Linked DNA regions of Arabidopsis thaliana. The protein of the gene in region 2 interacts with the protein of the main gene of each other region in a pairwise test. Each region holds a gene or a part of one and is shown on either strand. Other genes may lie near its edges. The genes, in order: MYB39 and AT4G03170.

Region 1 (4,456 bases), 8.5 Mb from region 2:
TTTACCAAATCCCATTGCCCAATGTCTTGGAGAGAAAGCCGAACCTACTCCAAATATGGTTCCAAATCCGAATCCGTATCGCCGGAGTTGCCTTGTCCAGGGGTTCAAAACGTCTATCCAACGTGGTTCGAGAATGCAGACCAAACCGTCGCAAGTAAACGAGGGTTGTGCGGCGTTGCAGTGCAGATAGACGATCTCTTCGTTCCCTTTGCACTGCGACGACCCGGGGAGGAGCCTAGGCTCCCAGCCGCATTTGCAGTTGTAAGCAGCCAGGATTTTGCGCTTCTTTTGAAGACTCATTCGTCTCTCCACGAACGTCTTCGACTCAAGAATTGATCTCCATCGTTTTGAGACGCTTTTCGATATGAGAATGGATTTCAAGGGAAGTCGAAGGAATATATCTTCTAGAAGATCGGCAACTATGTAGATCGAACTAGGGTTTTTCTCTTCTTCCTCCATTCTTGGTGACTGTTTGTTTTTTGATTTTTTGTCAATCTTTCTGTTAGAAACATCGAGAGATTGACATTTTAATATATTTCCTTATTGGCAAATAGGTGAATTTTTATTAAACTTGTGAATCAAGTTATGTTTCCATAGAGTTGTTTGATTGTATAAATTAGACTGCTCGTAGATATTTATCCAAAATATTGTTATTAAATGGGCAATAATAGAATGGTGATTACAATGTGTTTCTTTACACAACAACCAAACCAAATAAGAACAAATTACAAATAAGAATTCCTTTACAAGAAAATATACAAACTTTAAATCAATATTTAATAACAAACAAAATTAAGAGTATTAATCGAATATCTTTGTGTATGTATTGTCTTTAAAACTATGAGTATACGACCCGAACAAAATCCAGTTCTACCATGGGACAGGTGACGATGTGGGTGACGTTAAGCTGCAGATTAGATAAAACAATTCTGTTAATAAACCATAAATATAAATCATATACTATGTTAATCAATGCGGAGATAGATCTTACTCTAAGAAACTTTTCCAGCAAGAATCACTTGTTTCATCATCAAGAAACTTCTCCCAGTCCTCTAGGAAATCTGAACCGGATGAGTGTTGAGCTGTACTGGGATGGTTCAAACTGGTTGTCTCGGGAGAGACCGATACCGAACCAGTAGATGGGGTTTCTAGTAGTTGATCACCATAGTAACACGGCATCATACCGGTTCTGATATGATCATTTACCTTGGTGGTCGTACTGGTACCCGGTTTTGCTGTATTTAAACTCTCTTGAGAAACCGTAACCAAACCAGGAAGCTGGTTATCTTCAAAACCATCCCAAACATTTTCATAAGATGGAATGAAATCCGAGGCGGCCTCAGGAGTGATTCCACTTTGGTTTATGAAAAGACCAGCCGGGGGATCCGGTTTAGGATTCACTGAATTGGTATTGAAGCTATTGACTACCGGTTCTGGTTTAGGATTCAGTAAATTGGTCTTGAAGCTACTGATGTTTGGTATGGCTTTGGGGGTTATGATTTGAAGCATTTTATGGATCAATTGGAGTTTAAGAATATCTTCCAAAGCGGTGTTATTGTTGAGGAGGTTATTGTTACCAAATTGGCCATTGTTGATTGCTGCCGCGAGCATTTGAGAAACATCGAGGATAGGGCTAAGATCGTTGGTTCTTGGCTCGTGCGTCACTGGATCAATCCCCATTTGCAATAACTTCTTCCTCATATGAGTGTTCCAATAGTTTTTAATTTCATTATCTGTTCTTCCTGGAAGATGACCCGCAATTTTCGACCATCTGTATGGTAAAAATTCGACTCAAACGTTAGTAAAATGAACCAACGAAAACTTAACCTTTTGTATGGTTAGAGAATTATAAACTAAAGTTTAGACTATAGTCTTGAGGATGTGAATTCTATAATAGCAATAATAAACTATGCAATGGTATCCATACGTAAATTTGTTTTTGCACTTTATATTAATTTTAAAAGAACTGAAAATGGTTTATATTTTAAAATTATGAAAAAAACATGTAAACAGGAACACATAATTACGTCTGAAACAAGCGAGACCTAAATCATTTAGTGCTAACAAAATAGCATAAAAGCTTTAACGAAAAAAAAATAGTCTTACTTGTTGCCAAGGAGGGCATGGAGTCTAACGATAGTACTCTCTTCTCCATCGGAAAATTTGCCTCTCCGGATATCAGGCCGGAGATAATTCATCCACCGGAGCCGACAGCTCTTGCCACAGCGGTTAAGTCCAGCGAGCTTAGGAAGCGACCGCCAATTCCCATAACCATTCTCGTTTATATAAGCAGTGAGCTTATCATCTTCTTCTGGCAGCCACGGTCCTTTCTTCACGCCTTTGTCTTGATCGCAACACGGTGATCTTCCCATTTTGTTTATATCAAGAACCAAAACTTATCAGAGGTTTTTGAAGATATGATCTTCGTTTCGTCGCTCCCTACGATTAGGTTTGTATGTATATATAGATGTGAAAAGCAGTCATGACATAACTAAAGTAAAGTTGTGTATGCATTCGTCAGAATTTGGTGTAAATATTATTTTTCATAGTGTGTCATAAGTCTACAATATATGAGTCATTCAATAAATCAGTTAAATAACCAAAATAGTTATAACAAAATCAAGATTAGGTACTGATAATATGATATGTGTCATGGCGTTCGAACTTCGAAGAGTAATTCGTGGGGATGATGTTCAAACAAATAATTTTTATATAAAAGAATACGAATAATTGTTAATGCATTAATGGATTTTGTTATTGTGGGTTAGATGTATAAAATATTTGCCCTAGCTATGTTAGAATAAAATGTTGATATTTCCCTACTAAAATCTTTTTTTTTTGGGACCAAATTTCTTACGCTCTTTTACTTGTAAAACAATCACAAATTATATACTATTTCATAATCTGCAATTCAAACTAATCTTATTGAAATTATGTTATAAAAGAAAGCCACATTTTTCAAAAATTAAACATGCATGTGATCATTTTTGAATATTTCCTATATATGTGTATATTTCTCTATTTAGATTAAAACCTACAAATAAGAATTTCGCATAAATGCATGATTATAAATTAAACTTGTTAACTACTTTTCTTGAAGGGTATATTTAACTAATATTTAATTGAAAAGCAATATTATGTTCTCATTGCAAAGTTCATCAAAATTGGAATCTTGCATTTATCATTATGTGATTGCTTCCACCGCATTCAAAGAATTATCTCTACCTGCTTCAATGTCTCATGGTTGATCAAAGCCTACCCTTTCGCTTCTTCTTCCTCTATTTGAATTCAAACGAAGATTATTATTATTCTCCTTATTGTTACCAAACCGTCGTTTGTGCCTACCATACGTTCTGAATTTCAAGTCACAAAAAATTACCTATGCTATTATCATTTGTTTTTTGTTTAATTGTTTTGTAATTTTTTGTTACGTGAAAATATAAATTTTTTACGTGAAACTCTCTTTAGTATAGGTTATCTCAATTTCTGTTTTATATTATTCGAAAATATACATATGGATTTGGATGATCAAGTTAATACGAGATTTTCGAATTGATTTACTTTGATAAAGGAAATGGATAGCTTTTTTCGATTGACTAATTTAATTAAAGAACTTCTCTCGCGGGTTCCAAACATTAAGTCGATAGCGTGAGGAACACATAAACGAGTAAGTGGATTTTATTAGAAGGTGTAACTATAAAGTTGGTATTATATATTACGTTGTATTATACTATTGGATCTTTGAAAAAATCTTTCATAATAGAATCTTGTTGTCTTCAAAGGAATGAGAAGGATCACGACAAATTAGAAAAAAAACATAAAACGAAATTTCCTACGGTTGGAGAAAATGTTTACTAGTATAATTTAAATAATGAGGTTTAATTTCACTCTCACGGAAGATCTTGTTTACATACTTAATTACTATTTTTTTACCGTTAAATTACTGTTATGGTTTAAAGGGTCAATGTTCAGGCTTGTTTCACATTGTCAAATTAAAACCAAACACTTACCAACTCTCTATTTATCACGTTGACTATTTAAACAGTCGTATATATTAAGGGTTCCATGTAATTAGTAGCACCATATAGTATAAAATTCCTATGCTATATTTATTTGACATTGTCAACGAGTATAGATAAGACAAGCCTTAAAATTCTATGTAATGTTATTGTTACGCGGCTTACGCAACAGATACATAGTCGTCAATTTGTAATTCAATGGCTGCTTCACTCTTTCGGTCTCTGTAGCTAAAATTGACTTCCGAATTCAAATGAGTTCATAACATTGTATAAACTTTCAGTCTAGATCGGTTATCTTTTTTCTTGTTTGGATTTTTGTTCCTACTCTTGAACATCTTTGGAAACCGATCGATCTTTGAATTATAAACTTGCACCATATAGAAAACAGTGAAGGTCGCTTGAGGCACCAAGAGTATCTTCCAAGTTCCAACGACCAT
Region 2 (3,200 bases):
TGAATTGTTCTTAGATTTTGTAAGGACTCTACTTGAGATCAATCCTTTGAGACGTCCAACAGCTCTCGAGGCACTTAACCACCCTTGGCTCTCTTCTTCTTCTTACAACTGATTTTGCTTCTTCTTGTGTTGGTTGTTTGGTTTTGTCTTATTCTTTGTTTCTCCAGTTTTTTTCCCTCTTGGAATCTTGCTTGTGATTTTTGTATTGTTTAGTCGCTGTAATTGTGAGATTAATATGTGTATAGAACGGTTTTTACATTGATTTCACATTGTAAGTAAAAAGCTTGTGTGGTGCAATATTTTATAACCTTGATACATACATAGTTTAGATCAAATTAAACGTTGGAGCTACGACCATATAATGTGCATATATTCTCTGACCAGTGACGACCATATATGATCCATCATTTTGGTACCTTATCAAATATCAATTATCTATGTTTAAGATCATTGTAGACCGAATAGCGAAGCAAATCCTAATTAATATCCTGGTAACAAAAACGCAGGAAAAAGAAAGAAGCAAAAACCTCAAAAACCCTAATTTGGATTCAAGAAAGCAGTCTTCAAGATCCTTGTAGACCGAATAGGGAAGCAAACCCTAGTTAATACCCTGGTAGTTCCACTAGTTAACACAGAAAAAGAAAGAAACAAAAACCTCAAAAATCCTAATTTGGATTCAAGAAAGCAGTCTTCAAGATCATCCCACTCGATAAATTAATCTCTTAAAGAAAATTTAACGTAGTGAATAGCAAAGCAAAGCTTTCGAGTCTTTATGTGCCTAAACATCCAAACAGTGACAAAATCACAAGTCATCGAAAGACCATAATCTTCCACAAACTGCTTCCACCCTGAAGTTAACACAGGTGTTTTATCCCCATTCCACATCTTGAACTCCATCTGTTGAACTTTCCCGTCTGGTCCATACACCGAAACATCAATCCCCTTTACCGGATTCTCTGAATCTTCTAGAAAAGGAAGCATCTTCTCCTTCACTTGCTCCTTCGATAACATGAGCATGCATTGATCTTTATCGACATCGCTCGACATCAACTGCTTCTTTATCGGTCTGCTGAATAGCCTCGTCACCTCATTATCGCCGAATATATCTTGTGGATCGAGTTCAGCTTCGTACCATACCTCAATTAACCTCAGAGTTTCTTCTGAAAAGTCATGGATATTTATTTTCATCATGTTCTGTTTCTTAAACCTCTTAGGTTGATTTTTTTCAGTTTCTTCTTCCCTCTCCCTAGACTGCTTTTGATTAGCTTGGCTTTCTTGTAATAATGGAAGGGACGCAACCTCATAGTCTTCATCATCTATAACCTCGTCATCTATATCGTCTTCATCATCTATATCCTCTTCACGATCTATAATATCTTGCATCAATTGTGCTAATATTTCTGTAGCCGAGGTAGCTTCTTCATCTTCTTGTGTTGAACTTGTCGGTTTACCTGTTGAATTCGCCATGATCGATCTCTCACGTTCTCTCTATCTTACCTTGCTGAAGAATCTATATATTTTTAGGGTTTGTTTTTTTCCTTCTTTCTAGCAAATCAATTCCTTTTATACTTAGGTTTTCCATTTATATTATTAAAAAAAAAATCAACTTTTTAATCGATAAAATAATTATTTTAAGTCTGTAAAAATACTGCTTTGTTTTATGTGTGTATTTTCGAAAACGTTAATGACTAGAAATAATTCCTATATCATACATGTATATGCCAAGTTTTGATCCGAGGTCAGTGACAACTGACAAATCAATACTCACAAAGAATCTGGACTGAAAGTTGTGGAGTATGCAGAAGAAGTCAAGTCTTGACAGCAGAACAGTCTAAGCTTCAAAGTAGAAGAGAAACCAGTGTGTGTCAGAGGTAAAAAGTAAGAATAGACAAGAGAGGTTCTTACAAGCTGAGAAGTGCATCTCAAACATGATGAAAAGCTGAAAAGAACATCATGATAAGAATCAGACCTGCAAATTCGTGCCCTGCAGGTGTTATAAGAAGCTTCATGGGTAGTCAACAAGATGACTCTGTGCTGGCAGTGAGAAGGACACAAAGAAGCTGCAGGTCTGTTTAAACAGCAAAGAGCAAAATAGTCCTAAGGTGAAAAGTGACTGTAAATCTGTTTATGAAACTGATCAAGACAAAAGAATATCATTTCTTCTAATTGAATTCACAGCAGGTGAAATCATAAGTCACAGGAGAACAAAGGTTCAAGAGGCTGTTGTTTTCAGTTTTGCAGAAGAAACACAAGTAGTAAACAGGATGAGAAAGCTGTTTGCAGAAGATGGTTTTCAACAAGCCATTGTTGAAGTTTATTGTGATTCTAAGAGTGAGTCTACTCTGGTCAAGATCATAGTATGCTTAAGAAGATTAAAGGGGGTTGATACCAGCAGGCAAGTCATAGGAGAAATGATTGCAGAGTTGGTATTCAAGGTTGTTAGGAGTGAAAAAGCTTATCAAGCTGAGAATATCACTAAAGTGACAACAGGGAGAATGCTTCAAGCAGATAAGGAGCTTTTCAAAGTATCACAATCCTGAGAAGATCTCAGGGACCAAGATGGAACTCAAGGAATCTAGAAAGGTGAAGTAAAGGATTCGACACTACGGCAAGGTGGAGTTTTGTGAGGTTTTGCCTAAAGTGTCTAAGAGTATCTAACCCAAGTAGAAGGTTTCAGCCAAAAGGAACAAAATCATGTCTTTATTTAATTTCCAGATGTAACTCTTCTGAAGAAAGTGGTGTCATGGATCTTCGGCTGTTGATTCTAAGGCACTCTTAATGTTTGTTTATATGTCCATAAATGTTAGTGAGATCATATTCTTATAAATGTTATTGCTTCCATCATTTTGTAGGATGGTTTGGTTTTTGATGATGATGATGATGATCAAGAATTTGACATTATCAAGGATTTTGGTTGTTGATAACAATGATGATGTTTGTTTGGTATTGAATCTCTGGTTGAATCATAATGCAGAGGTTTAGAAAAACTCTCAAGTGGAAGGTGTTAACTAGGGTCTATGTAATGTGGAAGTCTTATGTTATCTTTGTTTCCCTTTTATGAGTCATGAGTAAATACAGTTTTCCTTCTACCAATTCTCATATTATCCGTCTTTCTCCTAAACAGCAGGATGTATTGGATAGACAAACTAAAGAGAAAAAATTAACAACAAAACTCAATCCAAAATGTTTAGAAATTTTCA

The links.
Region 1: the proteins of AT4G03170 (region 2) and MYB39 interact in a two-hybrid assay, tested with the Arabidopsis thaliana proteins (one large-scale study listed by BioGRID).

The regions. Positions count from the first base shown.
Region 1 is NC_003075.7:9,880,997-9,885,452, forward strand, and holds MYB39 (myb domain protein 39), read right to left. Parts: upstream 2,437-4,456; 5' UTR 2,373-2,436; coding exon 2,107-2,372; intron 1,772-2,106; coding exon 992-1,771; coding exon of another isoform or gene 988-991; exon of another isoform or gene 908-987; coding exon 871-907; 3' UTR 603-870; downstream 1-602. Other genes in the region: AT4G17780 (F-box and associated interaction domains-containing protein), read right to left, coding at 1-459.
Region 2 is NC_003075.7:1,399,099-1,402,298, reverse strand, and holds AT4G03170 (AP2/B3-like transcriptional factor family protein), read right to left. Parts: upstream 1,468-3,200; coding exon 715-1,467; downstream 1-714. Other genes in the region: AT4G03175 (Protein kinase superfamily protein), read left to right, coding at 1-112; AT4G03165 (uncharacterized protein), read left to right, coding at 2,008-2,066, 2,201-2,525, 2,853-2,921.